7 linked regions of the Macaca mulatta genome follow. The protein of the gene in region 7 binds, or shares a complex with, the protein of the main gene of each other region. Links are inferred from orthologs where the notes say so. Each region holds a gene or a part of one and is shown on either strand. Other genes may lie near its edges. The genes, in order: SMARCD1, DPF1, SMARCD3, SMARCD2, ACTL6B, PBRM1 and SMARCC1.

Region 1 (3,767 bases), on a different chromosome or scaffold from region 7:
ATATCTGGGCACTTCCTCCTGCTCTCCTTTGGAAGATCAGTTGTTAAACATTTACCAGCTCTTCACTGATGGAAGAGCTCAGTGGCCATCTTTTCTCTGGATGGTACAGCATTCTATTCTGAGCCTCCAATTCCATTACTTCTATTCACTTTTTTGTTTAGAGGATGGAGAGCAAGGCATCTCTAGGCAGATAGGAAGTGAAGAAAATTCCTTCTCAAAGAAGCATGTCTCTGTAGTTGGATATAGTCTCTTTGCCTTTCTTCCTTTATTCCATATTAATTCCAGTAAGGACTTTTTTTTTCTTTTTTTTTCTTTTCTTTTTTTTTTTTTTTTTTGAGACAGAATCTCATTCTGTCGCCAGGCTGGAGTGCAGCGGTGCAATCTCAGCTCACTGCAACCTCCACCTCCTGGGTTCAAGCGATTCTCCTGCCTCAGCCTCCTGAGTAGCTGGGATTACAGCATGCCAGTACGCCCCGGTGATTTTTTGTATTTGAGTAGAGATGGCGTTTCACAATGTTGGCCAGTATGGTCTCGATCTCCTAACTCTGTGATCCACCTGCCTCAAGCCTCCCAAAGTGCTGGGATTACAGGCATGAGCTACCACGCCTGGTGGGCTTTTTTTTTTTCTTTTGACCCTGAACCTACAAGATGACAGAGAGGGAGAGGGGAGAAAAAGAAGAAAGATAAGACCCTGAACCATTACTTACGCAGTAGTAACTCCTCGACCTATAAATTAGGTCAGTAGAAGTTGGTCTGTCCTGTATTCCTATGCTTAAAGTTAGACCACTTTTAATTTTGTGTTTGACTTTATTTTTGGGGTCAATTTTAGTTTAAAAGGGAGAAAGCCAGGCACAGTGGCACGTTCCTGTAGACCCAGCTACTCCAGAGGCGAAGGTGGGTAGATATTTGAGTCCTGGAGTTCGAGTCCGGCCTGGGCAACATAGCAAAATCCTGTCTCTGAAACAATGAAAAAAAGTTTGTTTGGTCAGGTGTAGTGGCTCATGTCTGTAATTCCAGCACTTCGGGAGGCCAAGGCGGGCGGATCACAAGGTCAGGAGTTCAAGACCAGTCTGGCCAATATGGTGAAACCCCATCTCTACTAAAAATACAAAACTTAGGTGGGTGTGGTGGTGGGCACCTGTAGTCCCAGCTACTTGGGAGGCTGAGGAAGGAGAATCACTTGAACTTGGGAGGCAGACGTTGCAGTGAGCCGAGATTGTGCCACTGCACTCCAGCCTGGGCAACAGAGCGAGACTCCATCTTAAAAAAAAAAAAAAAAAAGCTTCGTTTGTTTAAACATATATAGAGTCTCGCTCTGCCAGACTGGAATGCAGTGGCGTGATCTTTGCTCACTGTAACCGCTGCCTCCCAGGTTCAAGCAATTCTTGTGCCTCAGCCTCCCAAGTAGTTGTCATTACAGGCATGCGCCACTTTTTGTATTTTTAGTAGAGATGGAGTTTCACCATGTTCGCCACACTGGTGTTGAATTCCTGGCCTTGAGTGATCTGCCCGTGTTGGCCTCCCAGAGTGCTGGGGTTACAGGCATGAGCCACCACACTTGGCCAAAAAAGTTTTAAAAATTATTATTATTATTATTATTTTTTTTTTGAGACAGAGTCTCTCTCTGTTGCCCAGGCTGGAATGCAGTGGTGTAATCATGGCTCACTGCATCCTCGACCTCCTGGGCTCAAGTGATCCTCCCACCTCAGCCTCCTGAGTAGCTGGGATCACAGATGTGTGCCACCTAGCCCAGGAATTATTTTGAAATTTTTTGTAGAACCTGGGGTCTTACTGTGTAGTATAGGCTGGTCTCAAACTCGTGGGCTCAAGCAGTCCTCCTACTTCAGCCTCCCAAAGTGTTAGGAATTCAGGCATGAGCCACCATGGCTCGCCAAATTTTTTTTTTTTTTTTTGAGACCATCTCACTCTGTCACCCAGGCTGAAGTGTAGTGGCATGAACTTGGCTCACTATAACCTCTGCTTCCCAGGTTCAAGAGATTCTCCTGCCTCAGCTTCCCCAGTAGCTGGGATTACAGGCATAAGCTACCATGTCTGGCTAATTTTTAGTAAAAATGGGGTTTCACCATGTTCCTGACCTCAGGTGATCGCCCACCTTGGCCTCCCAAAGTGCTGGGATTACAGGCGTAAGCCACCATGCCTGGCTGCCAAAAATTTTTTTTAAAGGGAGAAAGATATATAGGAGACTGTAGCAGTCATTTCCTTTGGAGAGGAAGGAACTGCTTTTCACAGGATACCTTTTGTACTGCTTGAATTTTTACCATTGACTTTTTAAATAAATAACTTTATTGAAGTATAATTTATATATAACAGAGTATACCAATTGAAAGTGTAGTCTGAAGATTTTTGCCAGATCTGTATACCATGTAGCTGCCACAATAAAGTATAGAACATTTCTGTCACACCCAGAAGTTGTTGGGCCCTTTTGCAATTAGCCCCTTTTCTCTTCATCCTGGGTCATCTTTTTGACCCTGTGTAATTAGGTCTTAGGGGACAAGCTCTTTACCAGGCCCCTTTGGTTTCCTGTCCAGTGTTGACCCGAATGATCAGAAAAAGACAGCTTGTTATGACATTGATGTTGAAGTGGATGACACCTTGAAGACCCAGATGAATTCTTTTCTGCTGTCCACTGCCAGCCAACAGGAGATTGCTACTCTAGACAACAAGGTAGGGGTCTGTGCCCTGGACGGTTGGGTACCACCAGCCCCTATCACAGCTTCAAGGCCTCCTTTTGATTTTTAGTGTTCATTCAAAATATGGCGACACCCAGTATATGTCAGGTACTGTGCTTGGTGCTGGTTTGAGCCAGACTCAAATGAATTCTGATTGTGGGGATACTCTCAATAGCGCTGAGCCTCAGTTTCTGATTTGTGGAATAGAGACCATGGTACCTTTTTTTTTTTCTTTTTTCTTTTCAGGAGTCTCACTCTCTCGCCCAGGCTGGAGTGCAGTGGTGCAATCCTGCCTCACGGCAACCTCCACTTCTGGGTTCAAGTGATTCTCCTGCCTCAGCCTCCCAAGTAGCTGGGATTACAGGCACCCACCTTCACACCTGGCTAATTTTTGTATTTTTAGTAGAGACAGGGTTTCGCCATGTTGGCCAGGCTCTTCTCCAACTCCTGACCTCAAGTGATCTGCCAGCCTCGGCCTCCCAAAGTATTGGGATTACAAGCGTGAGCCACCATGCCCAGCCCATAGTACCTATTTTAATCAGGTTGCTATGACAATTAAATGAGGGAGTATATGTAAAGACTTGAGTCTGTATCTGGCACTTACAAAAACAACAAATGGTAACTTCTGCTACTATTATTGTTATCTGGATTGTTATTATTAGACACAGTCCTTGCAAATAAAGCCAAAAGTGCTTTGGGAACACAAAGGAAAAAGGGAGGCTTTGCTGGAAGAGTTGATGCCCCAACTAAATCTTGTTTTTTTTTTTTTTTTTTTTTTTTTTGAGATGGAGTCTTGCTCTGTCGCTTAGGCTGGAGTGCAATGGCGTGATCTTGGCTCACTGCAACCTCCGTCTCCTGGGTTCAAGTGATTCTCCTGTCTCAGCCTCCTGAGTAGCTGGGACTACAGGTGCCCGCCACCACGCCCAGCTAATTTTTGTATTTTTAGTAGAGACGGGGTTTCACCATATTAGTCAGACTGGTCTTGAACTCCTGACCTCAGGTGATCCACCCGCTTCGGCCTCCCAAAGTGCTGGTATCACAGGTGTGAGCCACCGCGCCCAGCCCTAATGAAATCTT
Region 2 (3,767 bases), on a different chromosome or scaffold from region 7:
AGCTGTGGGGCTTCAAACCTCTCCAAGTTTTAGCTTCTTCCTCTGCGGCACGGGGATGAAGGTAGCTCTAACCCACTGCATAATCTCTGCTTTGCAAATGGCTTAATACAGATGAGCCTCAGTTTCCTCATCTGTAAAATGGGTATTAAATCCCCCACCCCTGCAGGCTGTTCTGGGATTCAATGAGGTCAGACTGTGGCAGGGGCCGACCACTGCGCCTGCTCCACGAATGAGACCTGTCATTAAGGGGAGCAGGGGAGAGGAGAACCTTGGGGTGATACCTTTCCTTTGGCCCTGTTCTTCCTCCTGGGAATGTCATCCTCCAAGTCTTCCACCTCGAGATCATGCGGAAACTCCAGCAACTGCTGTTTCTGGGCAATAGAGAAAGGAGACGGATCAAGAAAGTAGGAGCCACTGACCTGCTTTTGAGGGGCTCTGGGCAGAGGTGGAGATTGGGGATGAGAGCGTAAGTCAGGAGTTCTTCCAAACAGAGATGAAGTCTGGGAGGATGGAGACTGGGATGCCCGAGGGCTGGAGGAAACCGGGGGGTTTCAGAGCAGGAACATGAGGGCCCGGGCTGGCGGCCGGCAGGGGTGAGAGGAAGCCATGTCGGGGGGTCCCCCAGGGGTGGGCCTACCTGACAGTCCATAATGGTCTCCTCCTCCTTCAGCTCAATCTTCTTCTCCCCCGTCTCTGCACACAGCAGAGCCTCGAGGACGGGCCCTTCAGGGAGGCCACCCTCCTTCTTCAGGGGTGCTTCACAGTCTGGGGACAGGGCCATGGCAGGGTCAGATGGGGAAGTTGACCCTAGAGGACTCCTCAAACTATGCAGGTGGGGGGACCATGCTCTTTGCGGGAGGGAAGAAGCTTTCCCACACTCGGCCAGCAGCCGAGGCGAGGATTTAACTACACGCCCTAGAAGGGAGGCCCAGACCCCGGGGAGACCCAGCCACACCCTCAGATGCCCTGGGACGCACGGCAGGAGACACAGTCAGAACTTTGGATATACCGGAAAGCCTCAGAAAAAGACACAGGCCATCAGGCACACCCAGACCTACTCAGGGAAGACACAGCGACTCTTTTTTTTTTTTTTTTTTTGAGACGGAGTCTCGCTCTGTTGCCCAGGCTGGAGTGCAGTGGCCGGATCTCAGCTCACTGCAAGCTCCGCCTCCCGGGTTTATGCCATTCTCCTGCCTCAGCCTCCCTCCCGAGTAGCTGGGACTACAGGCGCCCACCACCTCGCCCGGCTAGTTTTTTGTATTTTTTTTTAGTAGAGACGGGGTTTCACCGTGTTAGCCAGGATTGTCTCGATCTCCTGACCTCGTGATCCGCCCGTCTTGGCCTCCCAAAGTGCTGGGATTACAGGCTTGAGCCACCGCACCCGGCCGACACAGCGACTTTTAAACACACCCAGACAAATACGGACAGATACACACACTCACAGAGGAGACACATGGACACCCATAGGGGACATCCAGACAGATTTTCTGAGACACACGCAGAAAGGAAGAGGCCCAACCAAGCTCTCCTTTTTCTTTTTCTTTCTTTCTTTTTTTTTTTTTTTTTTTGAGACAGGGTCTCGCTCCGTCACCCAGGTTGGAGTGCAGTGGCACAATCTCAGCTCACTGCGACTCCCAGGCTCAAGTGATCCTCCCATCAGCCTCCTGGGTAACTAGGACTACAGGCAGAGTGGTTGGCCCGCCACCACACCGGCTAATTTTTGTATTTTTGGTAGAGACGGGGTTTCACCATGTTAGTCAGGCTGGTCTCAAACTCCTGAGTTCAAGTGATCCTCTGCCTCAGCCTCCCAAAGTGCTGGAATTACAGGCACAAGCCACCATGCCTGGCCAAGCCACACTCTCAGATACAGCCTAGAGACTCAGAGAGGTATAGCCAGATCCTTGGAGACAGCCAGACACATGAAGGAGACATAGCCGGACCCATGGGTACTCTCAGAGATGCGCAGAGACAATCAGCTGGTCAGGTGCGGTGCCTCACACCTGTAATCCCAGCACTTTAGGAGGCCGAGGTGGGTGGATCACTTCAGGTCAGGAGTTCGAGACCAGCCTGGCCAACATGGTAAAACCTCATCTCTACTTAAAAACAAAATACAAAAATTGACTGGATGTAATTGCTCACGCCTGTAATCCCAGCTACTCAGGAGGCTGAGAAAGAGAATCACCTGAACTCGGGAGACAGAGGTTGCAGTGAGCTGAGATCGTGCCACTGCACTCCAAACTGGATGGAAGAAAAGAAAGAGAAAGAAACAAGGAAAAGAAAGAAAGAAAAGGAAGGGAGGGAGGGAGGGAGGGAAGAAGGAAGGAAGGAAGGAAGGAAGGAAGGAAGGAAGGAAGGAAGGAAGGAAGGAAGGAAGGAAGGAAGGAAGGAAGGAAGGAAGGAAGGGAAAGAAAGAAAAAAGAAAAGAAAGAAAGAAAGAAAGAGAAGAGAGAGGGAGGGAGGGAGAGAAAGAGAGAGGGAGAGAAAAAGAAAGAAAGAAAAAGAAAGAAAGAAAGAAAGAAAGAAAGAAAGAAAGAAAGAAAGAAAGAAAGAAAGAGAAAGAAAGAAAGAAAAAGAAAGAAAGAAAGAAAGAAAGAAAGAAAGAAAGAAAGAAAGAAAGAAAGAAAGAAAGAAAGAAAGAAAGAAAGAAAGAAGAAAGAATTAGCCCTCCAGATACCTAGGCCCCCCTGGGGAAGACAGCCAGATGAGATGCCTAGACACATAGTGGGGAGATACCAACATACCCAGGGAGAATTGCTCAGCTAGATACACACACACACACATAGGAGACACAGACAGACAGAGACACAGCCAGGTGGTCACTGCCACACTCCTGGGTACACACAGACCTTCGGACTCAGGAAGAGAAACTGACCCCAATGACCCTGATACTCCTAAACACATTCAAGGTTAAGTCCAGATCCTCTGATGGACTGACACACACGTGCAGAAATACACCTGATACACCAGACACCATCAGGAAGAGATTCTCCCAGACACTCCGAGGCACCTACACACCCACAGAAAGAGACGGCCGCACCGCGTAACACACCCAGACACACTGGGAAGGAGCTGGACGCCCTGACAAACCAGACATACACAAGACACAAGCCTTCTAAGACACTTGGAGACACCCGGGAAGATACACCTAAGAGAGGAAAGAGCTCCAACCAGACACTGAGACATCCAGACGCCCTTGGGGAGATACAGAGGCGGACACCCTCAGGCACCCACAGAAGAAAATACAGGCAGATGGCCGGGCACGGTGGCTCAAGCCTATAATCCCAGCACTCTGGGAGGCCGAGTCGGGTGGATCACCTGAGGTCAGGAGTTCGAGACCAGCCTGGCCAACACGGTGAAACCCCGTCTCTACTAAAAATACACAAAAATTAGCCGGGCGTGTCGATGTGCGCTAGGTGGGAGGTTGAGACAGGAGAATCACTTGAACCCACTAGGCGGAGGTTGCAGTGAGTTGAGATCGTGCCACTGTACTTCCAGCCTGGGCAACAGAGCCGGACTCCATCTCCAAAAAAAAAAAAAAAAAATACAGGCAGATACTGATCCATCCCAACTCCCAGGGGAAGGGATGCAGACAGAAACTCCATATACCCACACACACCTAACAGGTATCACTATGCCCTCCAATACCACTGGACCCCTTGGCGGGGTGTAGTGGCTCACGCCTGTAATCGCCACACTTTGGAGGGCTGAGAAGGGAGGATCCTTTGAGCTCAGGAGTTCGAGACCAGCCTAGGCAACATAATAACACC
Region 3 (3,767 bases), on a different chromosome or scaffold from region 7:
TGGGGCCCAGGACTCTAGGGCGGTCCCTGACCCAAATCTGTGCTCGTTCTTCAGGGATTCTGGCCTGTGGGAAGGTGGCAATTCAAGGGCGGAGGGGCTCTTGGTCTTACCTCAACAAGGTGGTTGTCAGGACCATAAAGATCTTTGTCCAGCTCGATGACCAAACTCTTGAAGAAAGAAGAGAACTTCCGCTTCTGTTTGCTGGGCTGTGGGAGAGGAACAGGAACCATGGGGGCAGAACAGGGACAGGGTGGGAGAAGCAGAAGGAGGCCAAGTTGGCAGCAGACAGGGCAGTGGGCTTAGATGAAATCCTCTGCACCTGGAATGTCTCTAGGCCTGCCCCCACCTCCCCAGCCTGGGCTGACTCCCTAGCCCTTAGTGCAGACACTTTGTTCTGTTCTCAGTGCAGCCCGTGCCCACCCCAGGACACCTGGAGAGACCTGGGCCGGGACGTACATCATCCAGGAGCTTCCCCTCCACCCGTAGCTCCCAGGAGGCAATGCTGCCATCGGAGTCCTCAGCGTCAGGCTTCGCAGGGTTAAAAGTGTTGGAGATATAGAGACGCAGCTTCCGCTTTTGCTGTAGAAATAGAGTGTAGAACCTGGCAAATGCTGTGTGCTTCCACCCTGACTACCTTGCTTCCCCATCCTGGTCACGCGACTCAAGAGTCCCCTTCCTACCCCCGAACTAAGGCACCTTCATGGGCCTCTTCAGAGCCTCCTGGATGTCCACCCGCTTCCGCATGATGGTTTGATCCAGTTTCCTCTCAAATGCCAAGAGGTCCATGTAAGCCTGGGACTCGGGGACCAGCTCCCGAATCTGGAGGAGGAGGAGCAGGGCAGGAGTCAGAGGCTCGAGTCCAGGGTTGTACCATGGAATGTATGCATGTTGTGCAATCCTAGGGTGCAAAAGATGTCGGGGGAGCCATCCTACTTCTGGGCATGGAGCTTTGACAGTGGGAACAGGACCTCTCCCCAGGATGCCATTATCCAGCAGTAGGGGCCTTGCTGTGTAGGGATAACAATTGCTTCTCCCTTTAGGAAGAGCCTTGTGTATCATCACGGGGAGGAGGTAGCAACTGTGGAACCCAGCAAAGCACTAGCCTTTAGTCTCCTCATCCTGTCATTTTCTATGTCATATGCCCACTGGGCTTCCCCTGGGCCCCTGCAAAGTGCCTAGTAGGGGCTCAATCCCTGGGACAGTTGGACAGCAGTGCTTTCTTCTTTGCTGGCACATTGCTCAGCCCCCACACCTGTCCCAACTGTGCTGTCCCCCATATCCAGCTGGACCTGGGTCCCTTTAGGATGCTCAGGATCTCTGGCCACCTTCTATCCCCTTCATTCTGCCTGGCAGCTTTTGATCCCCTAGCTCTTGCCCCCTTCTTGTCCCACAACTCTGTCTTAGTACCACTTGGATCCAGCCCCCTGACAGGCCCCTGTGTTCTGGCCCCAGTGGCTCTGCTGCTTCCCTCCACCTCACCCCCTCCCTCTGGCCTAGGGAGCCTCACTTACTAATGAGTTTTTTTAAACAAAAAGTGAAAGTGACTGTGACACTGAAGCTCTGCTTTTGAGGGGGGAGGGGAGGGCAGAGCAGCAAAGGGTAGGGGGTGGGCTGGGGGCTGCTGTGAAAGACACTCACCCTTTGAGGGAGGATTTTGTCAGCCATCTTCCTCCTCTTGGCACTGTACATTTTTTAAAGAAAAAACCAGGTTACCATGGCGACAGATCTGGGAGTAACGAGGCCACCTGCTAAATTATCCCGACATCTCCGCCCGCCTGGCTGGGGTTCCCACAGCCCGCTTGTCTGCCCGCCCAAGGGCTATGACGGTGGTGTGTGGAACTGGTGCTCTGTCCTCTCTAAGGACACAGGGGTGACCCGTCCATTCTCTGGCCTGGGAGCCCCCTTCTAACCTGCCACATCCTTAGGGACAGAGAAATTTAGACTTAGGAGGGACTGGCGAGTGGGGGTGGTGCTGCCAAAAGATGGGAGCTGCAGAAGTGTTTGAGGAAAGGTGGGGATGAGGGAGGACAAAGGAGAGGGAAGCCAGGTCTGAGGACCTTTTCTGGAAAGCAGGGGGTGCCCTGTCCAAAGGATTCTAAGCTCAGAGGGAGGGAGATAGACGACTTCCTTCCTATCCATGGAGCGGGAGGTGATGGTGTGAAGCTGGCGGGACTTGCATCCCTTCCAGGCACCCTGGGCTTGCAAGAGAATGCTGATGAGCAGGGGTACTCATGCCCTGGGACTACCTGGCAACAAGGTGAGGGACATGCTGCAGCCATAGGCGCCCAGAATGTGCATGGGTGTGACTTCAGGCTGAGGCCAAACTGACTAGGCCCAGGGTAGTAGCAGCTGGATGTGAGCTCTTTCTGACCCACTAGCTGCTGCTGACTAACCCAAAAACCCCCAGAAAAACCTTGGCGGGTCAAGAGATGAAAACGCAGCCTAGAGAATAGCTCCATACTGCCCCCGTGTGGTGTTCTCAACCACTACCCCCTCCCTATGCAGAAATCTAAGGCTAACAAGCAGATTTCATTAAAGGTCTGGTTTGTTTTAGACAGATTATCTTTGTGTAACTCTCCATTTATACAAGATAAATCAGGGAATTACCGTTTGCTGTACAAAATGACGATGCACTTTACAAAATAATTCATCATGGGATTCCTATAAGTGGTGAATTTTACCTGATGTGTAAAAAATACTTAATAATGAGGTAAAATTGATATTACACCTTTTATAGAAATCCATCTGTTGTGCAAAAAAAGCATGTGTATTTGGCTAAATACTGAAATCCAGAGGGGCACTGCTGTTGCCAGGAGCCAGCAGGGGCTTTAAGGGTGCCACCAGCTGCTGGAGGAAAATAAGGCAATGGGCTGGCCCTGGTGGCTTGGGAGCAGACCTGGTCCAGAGTGCCTAAGAATTAAGAGCGGAACTGGGCAGAGACCACCTACCACAGGGCAAATCCCCAAGCTCCACCCCCAGGGCCAGAGAGTCCCATTGAGAAAATCTGGAGTGGCTTTGAAACAGTCCGGGGTCTGGCAGGAAGGCTCAGCGGAGAACTACACTTTGGGCAACACAGTCCTACAGCTCTGCCCTCAGTCCCACTGGAAGCCCCGCCCCCAACCCAAAGACTGAAGCATCACCCAGAACCTGATGGGTGGAGAGAGGGACTGAGCAGGTGACAAGGAGAAGGGTGAGGGGAACGTGCAGGGAAGCGGTACCGGCTGCCGACGGCCACAGCCTGTCTCTACCGTGGGCACACAAAAGAATCAGGCCGGTGCCCCCTAAGCCCACCTCCCCAGAGGGCATCCGATCCGGGAAGCCTCGCTCCCTGCTAATCATTCTTCCTCACCTCTTCCAATCCCCGCTACTCTCTCACCTGGTCCCTGCGGGTCCCCAGGGCCCGCCCCTGCACGCCCCCTCCGCGCCGGGCCTCCCACTCACCTGCGGCTCCGCGCGGGGGCGGTGGGCACCGGCTGGCCCTGGCTCTGTGCCTGGCTCTGCCCGGGCGGGGGCGCTGCTCGCTTACGGGCGGGCTCCATGCCCGCGGGGGCCAGGCCGGGTCGCACGGCGGGGCTGCCCATGTAGGGGGAGCCCGGGGGGCCCATGGGCGCCCCCTGGTGGGGCATCCGGGCTCCAGACGGCATCCCGGGGCGCTGTGGGTGGGCGGGGGTGAAGCAGAAACGGGCGCCCGTGGGTCAGACCAGGGCCCCCAGCTCCAGGCGCGGTGAGCCGGCGTCTCCCCTCCCCCACCAGACCCTCGGCTGGTG
Region 4 (3,767 bases), on a different chromosome or scaffold from region 7:
GAGTGAAAGAGCGAGACTCTATCTCAAAAAAAAAAAAGAAAAAAGAAAATATTCTCTATGGATGGGGAAGGGGAAGGAGAAAGGAACTAACTTTATCCTCTAGTGGTTTTCAAACTTTTGAGACCACGACCCATAATATTTACATTTTTCAGTTATGACCCAAGGTCTGCATATCTATTTATCGGAAACAAAAATATCATGAAAGAATACCTTAACTACTATGGTAAGTACTACTGTGAAGTATTTTTAGATTTTCTACTGTCATATATTAATTTAAAACATACTGGCCCTAACACATTCAACTGAGTTCGTACTCTACTAGTGGGCTGCATCCTGCATGTGAAAAACCCAGCTCTAGCCCAACTTGCTTGGCCCCTGGAAAACAAGGGGGTGGAGGGCAAGGAAACCTGGGAAGGCTAGAGGTGGTCAAGGTCACACATACTGTCAGAGGCTTTTTAATGGCCTCCTGGATCTCCATCCGCTTGCGAGCAATGGTCTGGTCCAGCTTCCGCTCAAAAGCCAAGAGATCCATGTATGCCTGAGACTCTGGGACAAGCTCCCGGATCTGGAGGAAGGTAGCAGAAGCTCATCAGCTTGCTTCAGCCAAAGCCTGGCTCTTTCCTCCCTTCCTGCAGCCCAGGGTTGAGGGAGACGGATGCCCACCCCGAGGTGGCCACTGGGCAGGCCTCCCAGGCGTCCTCTTAACACTTACTCGCTGAGGTAGAACTTTATCTGCCATCTTCCTCCTCTTTAACCTGGGGAGTTCAGAAACCCACTTAAGAGATCAATGGTCCAAAAAAGGACACTCACCCCCGCAACGTCCCTCCAGTCTCCAGGACCCTCTCCCCCAAGAGAGCCTGGAATCTTCCTCAGACACCAAAGCTCTTAAGATAGAAGGAAACCCTCTGCTACCACCAGAGATGAGTGAGGCAGAGTGGAATAAGCAGGATGCTCTTACCCCCGGCGCTGGGCAGGCATGGGAGGCTGCGCCTGGGGCACAAGCAGGCGTTTTCGGAATGGATCCATCATGGTGGGTGGCATGCCAGGTCGAAGCGGAGCTGCTGCACCAAATGGGGAGCCAGCAGGGGGTCCCACCTGCAAGCCGGCCATGGGCATCCGGTTCCCTGGTGACATGCCAGGTCGCTGGGGGAAGTGAGCCAACGGGGGTGCATAGGTCAGGGGCAGGGCCCTCCAGGGCCCATAGCCTATGCCCTCCATCCCTCTCGTCAGCCAGGTTGGGCCTGAGCACCACGCCAGAGCCCTGCTGGAGCCCCAGGAACAAAGGAGAGCGGGCGTCGGAGCGAAGAGTGTAAACCATACCTGCCCTGCCCCCTGCAACCGCCCTGGCAGCCATGCCAGCGAATGAGGTCTGCCAGAGCCTGGGCTGGGAGGAGGGTCCTGCCTGCAGAGGGAAGGGCCTACAGGAGCCCCACCCAGTCCCTATTCTCTCAGACAGTCCCGCCAAGCCTTGCCCTCCTCTTTCCCCCATCATGAGGGAGAAGCATGGCTGAGAGGCACGGGGGCAGTGTCACTGCCAGGCAGAGGGGTATACTATATCATGAGCAGGCCAATGGTGCAGAGCCCCAATCCCCATCCTCTGTGGCCGAGGGAGAAAGGGGTCTGGTAGGCAGCAGCACCCCAGGTGAGCAGGGCTACAACAGGATGACTTGGAACGCGTACCAGCTGGTGAGGGCGGCCTCGGACAGGGTACCGGGACCCTGTACCCTGTACTCTGGTACCATATAGCCCCTACCCACAGCCCAGAACTGGACCCTCCTCTCACCTCCTTACTGCCCAACTACTGCCCCTATGCCAAAAGACCCCAGAAGGGAAGCCATGGCTCCTGGGTGGCCTGTGGGAAAGACAGCAGCTGGCACCTGGACTCTGCCCGTGGTCCAGGCACCACCTGGCAGCCAGGACTGGCTCTGGCTCCGTGTAGCCCTGGCAATCCCAAGCTGAAGAAGGGGGCTAAGATTATCCTGGGAGGCAAGGATCAGAGGCCTAGGCTGAGCAGCAGGAAAGTGGAAGATAGAAATAGCTTCTTTAGATGCCTGCAGAAGGATTTCCCACTTGAAGCCTTGCTCCCCGACATTTCTGTGGAGCCCATCTGGGAGTCACCTCCACCCCCACCCCCCTCCCCATGGCTGCTGCCTGCAAGGCCTGTTTGGCAGCTCTGCCTCGCACACACTGTCCCTGGCAGCTTCACAGGGCTGGCCCCAGGGCCCAGATTATGCAACGAGCACAACCAGCCAACCAAGCCCGGCAGGGTGGAGACTTGTACCAAATCAAAGGACCCTCCCCCACTCCAGCATCATGGAGATGAGATTCTTCCCCAACCTCTTCATCCTGCACTAAACCCATGTTCCCAAAACAGAGGGTCAGATTCTTGACCAGATGCAGAGATGGAAAGAAACATGACCCACAGACGTGAGGATGGGGAGAGGAGGAGCAGGGTGGGAGGGAGGTGTTTGGGAGAATAAAAACCTCAAAGTGGGGGGCTCTGGGGCTTTGGGAGTCCTGCCAAAGTCTCTCTCCATCAGGAAGAGATTAATCAGAGCTGTTGAAAGGCAAAAGACAACCTCTTTCTCTGCCTTAAGGATTGTTCTTTCTCTGGCCTGAGATTATAGAAAAAAACTGAGTGTGACTACAGCTGTAAGCCCGGGCCCAGACATCCCAGACTTTAGTTTTTCCTAGTGCCTGAGACAAAGGGAAGAACTGAAGCACTGGGTCCTGCAGAGTGTGAGCGAGGGCCCTATGGTCCCCAGGAAGCTTCCCGCTGCAGCGTTCACAGAACCTGCAGCACCACCCATCCCTCCTGGGCAGGTGCTCTGGTAACAGGAAGTCCTAAGACAAGGCTGCACAGGCAGGGCCTGGAATAGGCTCCACCTAGACATCTGCTCCAGGCTTCCCGGGCCCAGAGCCCCCAGCTCACTCAGGACCCCAGGGGAAGGCTGCTAACAGTTCAAATTCTAGCTGAGCTTTGCTAAGCTCCATACCTGGGCTTATAGGTGCTAGCAACTCCTCCCCCTTCAAAAAACAAAAAACAAAAACAACTCAGGAGTTAGGAAAAACAAACAAAAAACAGTCCAGAACTCTGAGCCTCCCTAACTCCCTGCTTGCAACAGGATCAGGTAGGCCTGGATCAATCCCCTGAACCCCAGATGAGGAATCCAGGGCTCCAGTGAGCATGCTTTGCCCTGCCCCAAATGTGGCCCTGATGCTCTGGAACCTGGGCCTGAGGGCCTCAGTTGGGGAACATACCACCACTCTCCCATGAGTAAAAAGGATTTTGAGGCAGGGCGCGGTGGCTCACACCTATAATCCCAGCACTTTGGGAGGCCGAGGCAGGTGGATCACAAGGTCAGGAGTTCAAGACCATCCTGGCTAAGATGGTGAAACCCCGTGTCTACTGAAAACACAAAAAAAATTAGCCGGGCATGGTGGTGGGCACCTGTAATCCCAGCTACTCAGGAGGCTGAGGCAGAGAATTGCTTGAACCTGGGAGGCGGAGGTTGCAGTGAGCTGATATCATGCCACTGCACTCCAGCCTGGGCGACAGAGTGAGACTCCATCTCAAAAAAAAAAAAAAAAAAAAAAAAAGATTTTGAACTTTTTGAACTCTCTGGAGTGAACCCAGAAATCTGAGGTTTTTGTTATTTTGTTGCCCAGGCTGGAGTGCAGTGGCAGGATCATAGCTCAATACAGCCTTGAACTCCTGGACTCAGGCAATCCTCCTGCCACAGCATCCCGACTAGCTGGGACCATAA
Region 5 (4,272 bases), on a different chromosome or scaffold from region 7:
CAGCCTGGTGACAGAGCAAGACTCCCTCTCAAAAAAAAGAAAAAAAATTGAACACATTTTTTTTTTCCAGTTCTAGGAAAACAAAAAGTTGCACAAGAAAGGAAAAGTGATCATAGTGTATATTGCCTGTCTCAGACCTGATTAACATACATAGTAATAAAAATGTAAATCTTGGGCTGGGCACAGTGACTCATGCCTGTAATCCCAGCACTTTGTAAGCTGAGGTAGAAGGATCGCTTAAGCACAGGAGTTTGAAGCCAGCCTGGGCAATATAATGAGACCCCATCTCTACAAAAGATTCTCTTAAAATTATTTCTAACTTAAAAAGAGTGTAAATACTGAATATTGATTTCTTTCAAAGTCTAAAATACAACTGGGCTGGGTGCAGTGGATCCCACCTGTAATCCCAGCATTTTGGGTGGACGACCCGGGCGGATCGCTTGAGCCCAGGAATTCAAGACCAGCCTGGAAAACATGGTGAAACCCTGTCTCTACAAAAAATTTAAAAATCAGCTGGGCGTGGTGGCTCATGCCTGTAGTTCCAGCTACTCCGGAGGCTGAAATGAGAGGATCACTTGAGCCCAGGAGACCAAGGCTGCAGAACTGTGCCACTGCAATCCAACTTGGGTGATAAACTGAGCGGAGCCCCTGTTTTTGAGACAAAATCTCAAAAACAAATAACAAACAACAACAACAACAAAAACAACAACAACAAAACCCACTGTACTTAAAGGAGGGTAATAGAAATATGTTGTGGCATAGGCTGGGGAGGAAAAAAGAGCTAAGTGATCATTTTCTAGAGTGGAAAATTCATTGATAATATCTAAAACTAAAAACTCCACAGGCAGCAATTTAAGTGTAATATTAGAGATATGGAAGAAAATACCCCCAAAATTAGCTAAAAAGGAGAAAAACAGTTGCTTCTATAAAGAGGAATCTATAAGGATATGGGTAAGAACATTTTTTAAAATGCAGTTAAAAAATTTTTTTAATTGTTATTGTTTTGATAAAAGAGATGGGTCTTGCCATATTGCCCAGGGTGGTCTCGAACTCCTGGGCTCAAGTGATCCTCTCGCCTTGGCTTCCCAAAGTGCTGGGATTACAGGTGTGAGCCCACATCCCCAGCTCACCAATGTTGACCAAAATAATAATAAGTTAAAAGGTCTAAAAAGTACTTGGAGGCTGGGCATGGTGGCTCATGCCTGTAATCCCAACACTTTGGGAGACCAAGGCGGGTGGATCACCTGAGGTCAGGAGTTCGAGACCAGCCTGGCCAACATGGCAAAACCCCATTTCTACTAAAAATACAAAAAGTTAGCCAGGCATGATGGCAGGTGCCTGTAATCCTAGCTACTCGGGAGGCTGAGGCAGGAGAATCCCTTGAACTCGGGAGGCAGAGGCTGAGATCTCACCATTGCACTCCAGCCTGGGTGACAGAGTGAGACTCTGTGTAAAAAAAAAAAAAAATTAAAAAAGGACTTGGAGATGGAGAAGGGCAGCAGAGTAGATAGAACAAGAAGAGAGCAGGAGGGATGGAGACTTAGGAAGGAAGGAAAGTGGTTGGGATGGGTGAGGGGAGTCTGAAAAGGGAAGGGAAGTGGCTGACATCGGTGGCTTGAGGGGAGAGGAGGAGAGGTGGATGGTGGGAAGCAGGTGCAGTGGAGATCGGGGTTGGACATGGGAAGGCAGGAGGCACTCACCGGGGCCTCGGACATGAGCACGGGGTGCAAGTTTGGCTCAGACTTGACGTGTTTGCTGTAGGTATGATCCAGGATGGCTCGGAAGCACTCCCAGTCCTCGACTGGGGCCAGAAGAGCAGAGTGGAGAAAGGCAAGAGGGCAGGCAGGGGTCAGGGACAGGAAGAAAAGGAGGGAGAAAGGCCAAGCCCAAAGGAGGGTCAGTGAGTCCAGGCCCAGGGGAACGTCCCCTCTTCCCAGAAACCTGCTGGGCCCCTGGGAAGGGAACCCAGCGAGAAGAACCCTGGCAGCGAGAAGAACCCTGGGGCTGCAAGGAAGACTCCTTGGGGAGTGGGGGCTGCTATGTCCCAGATCGTGGGGAGTGGGCTCCCTATCTGTCAGGAGGTGATGGGTGGGGGCCCCTTACTCATGCCATTCTTGAGGGGCGACATGACCTCCGCTCCATCCCGAGGCACGTGCAGGGCATTGGTGTCGATGTGGAAGATCTTCCCTTTCTTCTCTTTGTCCCCCTCCAGCTCCAGCCCGCCCCCCTCCTCCGCGGCCAGCAGCCCCACCGTGGTGGGGAAGTCAGCCTGGTGGGGAAGGGTTGGGGGAGGATCGGCAGGAGAGGGGTCACCCTCTTGCCCCTGTCCAGCCCCACGGCAGGGTCCTCAGCCCGCCCCTGGGTTTATTCCCACATTCCCGCTCAGCAGAGCTTCTGGGCGATCTGGGAGAGCCCTGGGTCACTGGAAAGCCTGAAGAAGGGTCCGGAGCCCCTAGGATTTAGAGAGGAGACTGGAAGGCTCACCTTGGGACAGTCCTCCCCAGCGTACCCAGCGCGGACTGAGAAGGAGCCAATGTCAAAGACCAGCGCCCCCACCTCATCTGTGAGGGGAGACAGGCCTGTAAGGGGACCTCCCCCGAAGTTTTTCCCGCTAGGTAGTTCCGAGAGAAAGTCAGGGCAGAGCCACAGACTCGCCACCTTCAACACCAGTCTGGAGCCGGTGGGAACTGGGCCTGGAGTCTGAGGTCCTGGGACTGGGGGTGGGGGCATCATACCGCCAGGGTCCCTTCTTGCCCACTGGCCTTGCTCAGGCCACCCTCCTGACGGGAAAGGAAGGGGCCGGGGCCAGGTGGAGGTGGGTTGTAAGGTAGAGAGGTTCGGCCCGGTGCGCACGAGAACGGAGCGCAGGGGAGGCGGGAACCCGAGCCTGAGACTGGACCCGTTCATGCGCGGAGGTGACAGGCCCCGGGGTGCCCAGAGCTCGGATGGATGGCGCGGGTTCGGAACGCAGGGGGCCGGAGGCTCGCTCACCTCCGCCGTAGACGCCCCCGCTCATAGTGCCCTCTGCGCTGCTAGCGGCCCGTGGGCGGTGGCGGGATCAGCACCGAGGCGGCCGGACAGCTCCCGGGATCCCTGGCGGGGCGGGGCGCACGGCGACCAATTGGGAGGCCGGATCCCCCGCCCCCAACGGCGCCGCCGATTGGCTGCCAGGCGAGACAATGACCGGACCGGGGGCCGCGGATTTAAAGGGGAAGATACCCTCCGTTAGGCGACCAGGAGGAGATGGGGCAGGGGGCGCCTAGCAGGGACTTAGAGACCGTCGCTAAGGAACGGGCGGCAGAGAGGAGAGCAGGGCAGAGGTGGAGACCAAGACTCTGCAGGACGACTGATGAGGTCCCTACCCCCTTGCTTTTTGTTTTTATTAAATTTTTTGGTGGAAACGGAGGTCTTGTTACGTTGCCCAGGCTGGTCTCGAACTCCAGAGCTCAAGCGATCCTCCTCAGCCTAATAGCAGGGATTACAGGCAGGTGCCAGCACACCTGGCAAATTAAAAAAATTTTTTTTATGGAGACAGGGTCTTGCTCAGGTTGATCTTGAACTCCTGGCCTCAAGCGATCCTCCCACCTCAGCCTCTCAAAGTGCTATGCCCGACCTCTACCCCCTTACTTTTTAAAGCAAGACTGGGGAGAGAGCTCCACTCCCCAGAAGGGTCATCTGTCTTCAGGCTGCTCTGAGCCCGGTTCTGCCACACCCAGGCCTAAATGGAATTGCCGGGAGAGGGAGGGAAGGGAAGATTAAGAGAGGGACCAGAGGGGGTGGGGGTGTGTCTCCATCTCTCTCTGTTTTTTTCTTTGTTTGTTGTTTTTTTTTTTAGAGACTGGCTGGTCTTGAACTCCTGGCCTCAATGTCCCAAAGTGCTGGGATTAAAAGCATGAGCCACCGTGTCCAACTTCCCTCCTTTGTCTTTCGCTGGCCCCTCTTTTCCTTGCCTTGCTCCACCCCTACCCCCACCACCCCAGTACCTGGGCGTTATACATGTGTACACATGCTTACACACATATACATACGTTCACACACAGCCCACCTGGCTTTAGCTTCTTTTCTCCATCTCTCTGTCTCTTCAGCGCCTATTTTCCTAAGGAGGCATTTATCAACAAGAGGGTTTTTGTTTCTTTTCTTTTTGAATTGGGGTCTTCCGTCACCCAGGTTAGAGTGCAGTGGCACGCTCACAGGTCACCGTAACTTTGAACTCCTGGGTTCAAGTGATCCTCTCGCCTCAGCCTTCTGAGTAGCTGGGACTTACAGGTGCAC
Region 6 (4,492 bases), about 5.2 Mb from region 7:
GACTGAGGCAGGAGAATCACTTGAACCCGGGAGGCAGAGGTTGCAGTGAGCCAAGATGGCACCACTGCACTCCAGCCTAAGCGACAGACCAAGACAGTCTCAAAAAAAAAAAAAAAAAAAAAAATTAGCTGGGTGAGGCAGTGCATGCCTGTTAACCCAGCTACTCGGGAGGCTGAGGCACGAGAATTGCTTGAACCCAGGAGGCGGAGGTTGCAGCAAGCCGAGATCGTACCACTGCACTCCAGTCTGGGCGACAGAGCAAGACCCTGTCTCAAGAAAAAAAAAAAAAAAAGACATAAAGTGAAATCACTTCTGCAAGTTCCCCAGGCACAGGAACAGCATATTCATTTTTGTAGACCTGTCTTACAGAACAGTATTTGGTATAGGTTAGGTGCTCAATTTATCTTTTAATAAATGTATTAAAAGTGCACTTAGGGCCAGGCACAGTGGCTCATGCCTGTAATCCCAGCAATTTAGGAAGCTGAGGTGGGCAGATAACCTGAGGTAAGGAGTTCAAGACCAGCCTGGCCAACATGGTGAAACCCCGTCTCTATCAAAAATACAAAAAATTAGCTAGGCGAGGTGGTGGCATGGGCCTGTAATCCCAGGTACTCGAAAGGGTGAGACACAGGAATTGCTTGAACCTGGGAGGCAGAGATTGCAGTGAGCCAGGATCGTGCCACTGCACTCCAGGCTGGGGGACAGAGTAAGACTCTGTCTCCAAAAAAAAAAAAAAAAGAAAAGAAAGTGCACTTGAGTGCGACCTTTAAAAAAAAAAAAGCTTTTTTTGCATAGTTTATAAGGCCTCAGCCAGGCACAGGGTCTCGTATCTGTAATCCTAGCACTTGGAGAGGTTGAGGCAGGATGACCGCTTGAGGCAGAGGGTTCAAGACCAGATTGGACAACACAGATTGACCTTGTCTCTACAAAAATAAAAATTAGCTGGGTGTGGTGCTGCACATCTGTAATCCCAGCTACTCGGGATGCTGAAGTGAGAGGTCTGCTTGAGCCTAGGAGCACAAGGCTTCAGTGAGCCATGATCACTTTACTGAACTCTAGCCTGGGCAACAAAGCGAGACCTTGTCTCAAAAAAGGAAAAAAAAAAAAAAGCCTGTAAGCATCCCTTCAGCAATTTTGTTTTTCCATGAAGAGGAAAGACAGATTCCAGAGTTCAATTCCAATTTTTAAAATGGCCTTGATTACAGTTACAAGTTCAAGAGTCTGACAATCAATAATTTATAGTGGCAGTTAAGAATACTTAATAATGTGCAACTGGAAGAATATCGACTTAGTATAGACAAACGGTGTATTTCAACCGTTTATGAACTTTAGCCCTCTCCTGTATTTCTAGTAATATTTAGCAATACAATATATGCCTAAAACAAAATCTTGGAAAACAGGACTCAAAGGAAAAAAACACCTATAAATCTACTTCCAAGAAAAAACCACTTTTAACGTTGTCATTCACAGTTTTTTGGTGTTTATGCCTTAGTTACCTATTATTTTTTACCAAAATGTTAACAAACCACATATTTTACAGCCTATGTTTTAGTGAAGATTCTTCCAAGTCAACATTCTTCCTCATGATGTTTGATGACTTGATAGTAATCTATCATACAGATATACCACAATTTACTTATCTTGGGAATTTTGGTAGGGTATTAACATTTGAGGTATTTTGTACATTCCCAAAGCCAAAGAAAGCGGTCAAGGCCCTTCCATTCATCCACACATAACTCTTTATTGTTTTAATTTGAAACACCTCTTCAAAACATATTTTCCAATCTTCCATTTTGGAGCTCAAAATCAAATATGGGCGACCTGTAAGTAATAAAGCAAAAATTATGCTACTCTTTTATGTGCATGAGTCCAATATGCACTTTTTGGGGGGAAGCACATAGCCAAATGGAGAAAAAATAACACCTAAAATTATTTGTCAAGAGTCCTAATGTGTTGGAAAGTAAGTTAAAACATTTTACCCCAACATACGCTTGTATAGCTACTGTAAGAATTTCTATATTCACTATACCGTGTACTTATTTTTCAGGACTTTTTCCATATTTTTGCAACTCTTTCTGCCCCTTTAAATTAAAACTTATTATAATAACAAAACTGTGCTTCCCCAAACCAAGAAATATACACAGTTCCCAAAAACCCGGATTCTTTGTGGTGTTGAGATGAGAAGCTGAAATATTTGGCCTCTACTATAGAAGTCCCATTGATTAAAACACCCGGAAAAAATACGGAAAGAAAAATCAGTAAGAGTTTGTGTCGAACCGCCAAGAAATAACAACAAAAAAAAGAGGCCCTGAGCAACGGAGGAAATGAAGGACTTTCCCGACCTGTCACTGGTATTGGGGGCTGAGGGAAACGTTGACAGCTTTGAAGCTGCCCCGCGACGAGCGGGAAAGAGGAGGGCGGGGAGTTTCCGGGCCTTAGTGCGCCTTTGTCTGCCGGCAGGTGCGACAAAGCTACTGGGCCCATCGGGAGGCCCGCCGCCGTGCCCCGCCCAACCCCGCGCGCCCGGCCCGACCGGCGCGTCCCCACAGCCGGGGCGGGGCCTCCGCGGCGGCTCCCGCCCGCCAGGGCCCACACAAAGGCCCGGCAGCTGGCCGAGGGGGAGCGGCCCCACCCGCCCTGGGCCCGGCCTTACCCAGCCGCTCCGCCGCCTGCAGCCCCGGCCGCGGTCACCGACCGCCGCGCCCCGCCCCGTGGCCGCCACGGCTGCTGCTATTGCTCCTCCGGCCGCGGCCGCTGCCGTCGCTCCGGCACCCGCCGCCCTCACCTCCCTTACCCCTCCCGGTGCCGCCGCAAAACCAGTCCCGCGGCCGCCAAGCGATCCCTGCTCCGCGCGACACTGCGTGCGCGCGCACGCAGAGAGGCGGTGACGCACTTTACGGCGGCAGCGTAAGTGCGTGACGCTCGTCAGTGGCTTCACTTCACACGTGGCGCTAGAGGAGGCAGGGTGTCGTGCTCGTGCCGCTTTCTACAGCCAACATGAAGCGGCCTAGTAAGTGGGGTCGGGAAGCGGGCGTGGAGGGACCCATGTCTGGAAGTTGCTGCAGCCTCCACGACGCTCTTTTACGGCTACGGCTTTGTCTCTGCTGATATAGGGGTGAGAGCCTACGCGTAGGCCTTGGCCCTATTTTCTCGTAGGACCGAGAGTTGGAAGTCCCTACGGCGATCATGTTAACCGCGCGGGCTCATTCTGTGGAACGAAGACGGGCAGAGGGTGGGAAAGACTAGGCTAGATTTTCGTAAGGAAGCAGCTTCTGAGCCAGGTTTCAGGCCCAATATCTTACTTTCCGTGGCCACGTGCAGGCTGGCCCAGGTGAGAGCTGAGAATCGCCTCCCAGACTCAGTGTTCCTCTCCTGCCTTATGATTCGTGCTGTTTGACACAAAGTGGCTGTCGTTTTGGGTCTCATAAACGCTCGTACACGCTGCTGTGTATGATCCTATTCTGATATTGTAAGAGTAGGTGCAGGGAACTTGGACTCCGTTCTGGATCTACTGAATCTAATTCTCTGGAATTTGAAAGTGGCATGTATGTTTGCATTAGGCATTTCGCATTAGTCTTAACGTTAGGTTTGGCAGCCAATAACACGAGAAAAGGATATAACTCCATAGTGCGTTAACCCAGAACTAATCATTTGCGTTAACAGATTTGTGATGTTTCTTTGTAGAGTTAAAGAAAGCAAGTAAACGCATGACCTGCCATAAGCGGTATAAAATCCAAAAAAAGGTAAGTGTAGTGCTTGAGAGAGCTATACTAAACACTGCTAAACTGATTTTGCCCTGTTCCTTTGCGGGAAAGTCCGGGTTAATGTGATTTGGTTTCGGAAAATGGCATTGGATAGACTGACCATGGGCACGAGCTCTTAGGCATCAGGAGTGCAGCTGTGAGAAAGTGCAGTGATTTGGTGGTAAGTCTCTAAATTTGTTCAACATGTTAATCTCTGCATAGAGAGCCTTCTAGTTACATTTTCTTACTGTTTTATACTTACCTATGCATTACTTTGTAAGATTCCAACTAAAGCTCCATTTTCCTATTACATTTTATAGGCATAACTAAATTGCAGCCAGATTGGTTTCTCACTTGAATTCTGCTTAAGTATAAAGATATTTTTGTAAGCAGACAAAATCTCTTTAATAGGTTCGAGAACATCATCGAAAATTAAGGAAGGAGGCTAAAAAGCGGGGTCACAAGAAGCCTAGGAAAGACCCAGGAGTTCCAAACAGTGCTCCCTTTAAGGAGGCTCTTCTTAGGGAAGCTGAGCTAAGGAAACAGAGGGTAAGTTATGTTAGCCAGAATTTTCAACGAGTGGTATAGTGTGTTATGTGTGATATTTTTCAGAGTAAGGTAACAACACTAGTCACTGGTTCATCTATTTCCCTTACGGCTCTGACACAGCTTGAAGAACTAAAACAGCAGCAGAAACTTGACAGGCAGAAGGAACTAGGAAAGAAAAGAAAACTTGAAACTAATCCTGA
Region 7 (3,767 bases):
CTCATCAGATGTATCTTAGAAGGACTAAGATGTGCTGGATTGTAGCCTACATGTGATTAGAAAAAAAATCCTTACCTTTGCTAATGTTTTCTTGGAGTAAATATCAGTACGTAGACCAAAGTTCTGCAAATCAATTGGTTTTTCCTTGTTTTTCTCAGGAAAATTTAGCATCTGTTGAGCAGCAGGAACCTGAGTCAAATAAATGATAAACGGCTGAGTTAGCCTCTTTAAAGTCAAGAGGGTAAACGTTTTTTAAAATTTGTTTAGGCCGGGCGCGGTGGCTCATGCCTGTAATCCCAGCACTTCGGGAGGCCGAGGCGGGCGGATCACAAGGTTAGGAGCTCAAGACCAGCCTGACCAAAATGGTGAAACCCCATCTCTACTAAAAATACAAAAATTAGCTGGGCGTTGTGGCATGTGACTATAATCCCAGCTACTCAGGAGACTGAGGCAGTAGAATTGCTTATAACCCGGAGGCGGAAATTGCAGTGAGCCAAGATCATGCCACTACACTCCAGCCTGGGGAGCAGAGACAGACTCTGTCTCCAAAAAAAAAAAAAAAAAAAAAAAAAAAAAAGGTTAATATTGGAACTTAAGCCACTCTTGGTGGATTTCCTACGAAAAACAATAAATACCCACACTTCTACACTATACTTCTAACAAAAATTCAACATACAAGTTACATTTTGGTGTCCCTTAAGTCCAGAAAGGATAACAAATTTTCATTACTATATTCTATTTCACAATGGAACAAAATTTATACCTTAGGTTCCTGTGAATCCAACTTAATGCTATACAGAATTTGTCTGACATAATCTGTTTGATAATGTATATATGGATGTCCACTTTACAAATCTTAGGACAAGTTATAAAGATTTCTTTGCTTCACGTTTCTAGAACACAGACTGAAGGAAGGGAAAGAAGATTTTGCATCATCTGCTTACTTATGTGTGTCTTTTTGATGACAGAAGGATAAAGGGAGTTATGCATATAAAAGTAAATTAATAATTTGATAGACTAAGGCATTGGGTTTTGGGATTGGTGGGACAGCATTAACTTAAACACTATATATTCTTTTGGACTGTAATATTTACAGTACACCAAAACACACATACAAACAAGCATCAAAGAAACAGCACTAACAACAGCATTCCTAAATAGATATGCTATAAACAGACATTTGTTACTATTCAGGTCTGATGAAAAGTCAACATTAATTTACCTGAGGTGATCGAAGATGCAGAGGCACAAGCCCAGAGGGAGTATCAGCTAATACATTAAAATGAGGAGTAGGAGGAGGTCCCATTGCCATAGGTCTACTTTCCGGGTCAACTTGGTAATTAACGAGTCCCCACTGCTCTAAAAAGGCATGGACCCTAAAGAATAAAGCTCGGAAAGTTAAAATCTAAAGAATCAATTTCATGTGCTTTATTATCATCATTACACCATTAAAAAACAGAAACAATAAAACAAGTAAATGTGCTCAGCAGGCTATCAAACACCACAAATTACTTGACAGATTTTGTTTGTTATGTAGGGAACAATTTCTACAAGCCACAAATAATGTTGATAACACAGCACCCCCCAAACCTATTACAAAGTTTAATCATTTAAATCACAGAAATGAGAGCACAAATACGCATTTAGGTCCATGGTAATAAAAGAACCCACACACAGACCAAATACACACATAGAAAAAATCCACATTTTTCTTGACAGAGTCTCGCTCTGTCTCTCAGGCTGGAGTGCAATGGTGCAATCTCAGCTCACTGCAACCTACTCAGCCTCCTCGGTTCAAGCGATTCTCCTGCCTCAGCCTCCCAAGTAGCTGAGAGTACAGGTGCCCGTCACCATGCCCAGCTAATGTTTGGTATTTTTAGTAGAAACAGGCTTTCACCATGTTGGCCAGGCTGGTCTCGAACTCCTGACCTCTGGTGATCCACCCACCTCGGCCTCCCAAAGTGCTGGGATTACAGGTGTGAGCCACTGTACCTGGCGGGTTTTTTTTTTGTTTTTTTTTTGGCAGAGCTAGGGCGCAGAGTTTATCCACTCCCAACCTGAATCTACTCCTTCCCTGGTTATTTTATGATTTGACTAAAAAAATTAAAATGTGAACTGTAAAATCTAGAAAACTAAATTAAATATTTATCTTACTTATTTTATTTTTTTGAGACACAATCTCGCTCTGTCGCCCAGGCTGGAATGCAGTGGGACAATCTCAGCTCACTGCAATCTCTGCCTCCTGAATTCTCCTGCCTCAGCCTCCCCAATAGCTAAGATTACAGTCATGTGCCACCACGCTCGGCTAATTTTTATATTTTTAGTAGAGAAGGGGTTTCACCATATTGGCCAGGCTCGAACTCCTGACCTCAGGTGATCCGCCCACCTTGGCTTCTCCAAGTGCTGGGAATATAGGCGTAAGCCACTGCACCCAGCCTAAATTAAATATTTTAAATTTTCAACCTCTAATGCTGAACACAGTGCTCACGCCTGCAATCACAATACTTCAGGAGACCGAGGCAGGAGAATTGCTTGAGGCCAGGAGATTGAGACCAGCCTTGGCAACATTATGAAATCCCATCTCGACAATAAAATTAAATTAATAAAATAAAATAAAAATAAAATAAATTGAATGAAATGAAAGGAAACAAAATATAATCCACCCCTAAATGACACAACTAAAATTAGGTGTTTTACCCAGTTGAAACAACCAGTTTAATATGACAGCAAAGCATAAGTAAATTCCTACAGTTAAATGTCTCAGAAAAAGTCAAACATTTTACCTCATCACAGCACACACATCTCCAGTCAAGTTCCTCCGACAAGCAGTGCTAGTTAAATACTCTTGGGGGTTTAGGCGATACGTGTCAATCATAAAATTTCGATATGCCAAGTATCTAAAAAGCAATGGCAAAATTCATAAGGTGGACACGTATCCTTTCAGAAACAATGTTACTCAGAAACTCAAAAATCTTCAGATTCCTTAGAAATACAATAAATTAAGACAAGAGCATAAAAAAACGGTGATATTATATTGCATATTAAGTTATGAGTGAATTTAGAACCACAAATATGCAAAACAACTGTTTACTAATGTATAATAACAAGTAATGTAACGACATTCATGTGAAGTAACATAAATTCAAACTTGGTCATGGTGGTAGTTAACTGCAGAATTTGAAACTAACACATGGTTACATAGGCTATCTGCCTCACTACCACATATCTATACTTTACTGTGTGCAGGGCACTGTTATAAGCAATGTATGTCTGACAACTGAATCCTCATAATCGCTCCATATTGCAGGTAGGGTCTGCTATCATCCCATCTATGGGTGAGGAAACAAACACTGAGTTGTTAGAGAATTTGTCCTAGCCACAGGGTTGGTAATTGATGGAGCCAGAATTCATCGCACCCAGTGTGGTGGCTCTTCAATCTATGCTCTCAACCTCTGTTGCCTATCACTTCTGTATTTCAAATGTGGCACGTGGATTTGGCTCTGAAAATAGCTATGTAACTTCTCGTGGCAGTTCTTTAAGGGAGATCATGGCTGGGCAACAAGTAGAATCCATGAGACCAAATCCAGAAAAGAACATACGAAAATGGAGAGAGAGACTGAGATTCTGTTACAGCAGATTCCAATGACTTCTGTCACAAAATACAGTACTTAATAACAAGAGTGTTAAGGACTTTGAGACCTAGCAACAGTTCTTGGCACACAAGAAAAACAAAACTCAGGCAGCCAAGATCATGCCACTGCACTCCA

Evidence for each region.
Region 1: SMARCC1 (region 7) and SMARCD1 share a complex: the UniProt entries of both Homo sapiens proteins name them as parts of the BAF complex. The link is inferred for Macaca mulatta from reciprocal best matches to the Homo sapiens genes SMARCC1 and SMARCD1.
Region 2: SMARCC1 (region 7) and DPF1 share a complex: the UniProt entries of both Homo sapiens proteins name them as parts of the neuron-specific chromatin remodeling complex. The link is inferred for Macaca mulatta from reciprocal best matches to the Homo sapiens genes SMARCC1 and DPF1.
Region 3: SMARCC1 (region 7) and SMARCD3 share a complex: the UniProt entries of both Homo sapiens proteins name them as parts of the BAF complex. The link is inferred for Macaca mulatta from reciprocal best matches to the Homo sapiens genes SMARCC1 and SMARCD3.
Region 4: SMARCC1 (region 7) and SMARCD2 share a complex: the UniProt entries of both Homo sapiens proteins name them as parts of the BAF complex. The link is inferred for Macaca mulatta from reciprocal best matches to the Homo sapiens genes SMARCC1 and SMARCD2.
Region 5: SMARCC1 (region 7) and ACTL6B share a complex: the UniProt entries of both Homo sapiens proteins name them as parts of the BAF complex. The link is inferred for Macaca mulatta from reciprocal best matches to the Homo sapiens genes SMARCC1 and ACTL6B.
Region 6: SMARCC1 (region 7) and PBRM1 share a complex: the UniProt entries of both Homo sapiens proteins name them as parts of the SWI/SNF-B (PBAF) chromatin remodeling complex. The link is inferred for Macaca mulatta from reciprocal best matches to the Homo sapiens genes SMARCC1 and PBRM1.

What each region holds. Positions count from the first base shown.
Region 1 is NC_133416.1:57,265,342-57,269,108, forward strand, and holds part of SMARCD1 (SWI/SNF-related matrix-associated actin-dependent regulator of chromatin subfamily D member 1), read left to right. Parts: intron 1-2,549; coding exon 2,550-2,685; intron 2,686-3,767. UniProt on the Homo sapiens protein: Involved in transcriptional activation and repression of select genes by chromatin remodeling (alteration of DNA-nucleosome topology).
Region 2 is NC_133424.1:49,293,339-49,297,105, forward strand, and holds part of DPF1 (zinc finger protein neuro-d4), read right to left. Parts: intron 766-3,767; coding exon 638-765; intron 372-637; coding exon 282-371; intron 1-281. UniProt on the Homo sapiens protein: May have an important role in developing neurons by participating in regulation of cell survival, possibly as a neurospecific transcription factor. Belongs to the neuron-specific chromatin remodeling complex (nBAF complex).
Region 3 is NC_133408.1:190,675,088-190,678,854, forward strand, and holds part of SMARCD3 (SWI/SNF-related matrix-associated actin-dependent regulator of chromatin subfamily D member 3), read right to left. Parts: intron 3,654-3,767; coding exon 3,442-3,653; intron 1,682-3,441; coding exon 1,639-1,681; intron 820-1,638; coding exon 697-819; intron 580-696; coding exon 457-579; intron 207-456; coding exon 111-206; intron 1-110. UniProt on the Homo sapiens protein: Involved in transcriptional activation and repression of select genes by chromatin remodeling (alteration of DNA-nucleosome topology).
Region 4 is NC_133421.1:73,633,046-73,636,812, forward strand, and holds part of SMARCD2 (SWI/SNF-related matrix-associated actin-dependent regulator of chromatin subfamily D member 2), read right to left. Parts: intron 2,191-3,767; exon of another isoform or gene 2,143-2,190; coding exon of another isoform or gene 2,071-2,142; exon of another isoform or gene 1,784-2,070; intron 1,144-1,783; coding exon 959-1,143; intron 756-958; coding exon 713-755; intron 566-712; coding exon 443-565; intron 1-442. UniProt on the Homo sapiens protein: Involved in transcriptional activation and repression of select genes by chromatin remodeling (alteration of DNA-nucleosome topology).
Region 5 is NC_133408.1:47,859,099-47,863,370, forward strand, and holds the start of ACTL6B (actin-like protein 6B), read right to left. Parts: upstream 3,039-4,272; 5' UTR 3,017-3,038; coding exon 2,992-3,016; intron 2,562-2,991; coding exon 2,485-2,561; intron 2,270-2,484; coding exon 2,104-2,269; intron 1,802-2,103; coding exon 1,701-1,801; intron 1-1,700. UniProt on the Homo sapiens protein: Involved in transcriptional activation and repression of select genes by chromatin remodeling (alteration of DNA-nucleosome topology).
Region 6 is NC_133407.1:116,242,527-116,247,018, forward strand, and holds the start of PBRM1 (protein polybromo-1), read right to left. Parts: upstream 2,819-4,492; 5' UTR 2,654-2,818; intron 1-2,653. Other genes in the region: GNL3 (guanine nucleotide-binding protein-like 3), read left to right, coding at 2,998-3,010, 3,685-3,743, 4,155-4,292, 4,413-4,492. UniProt on the Homo sapiens protein: Involved in transcriptional activation and repression of select genes by chromatin remodeling (alteration of DNA-nucleosome topology). Required for the stability of the SWI/SNF chromatin remodeling complex SWI/SNF-B (PBAF).
Region 7 is NC_133407.1:111,045,052-111,048,818, forward strand, and holds part of SMARCC1 (SWI/SNF complex subunit SMARCC1), read right to left. Parts: intron 2,898-3,767; coding exon 2,784-2,897; intron 1,377-2,783; coding exon 1,223-1,376; intron 190-1,222; coding exon 76-189; intron 1-75. UniProt on the Homo sapiens protein: Involved in transcriptional activation and repression of select genes by chromatin remodeling (alteration of DNA-nucleosome topology).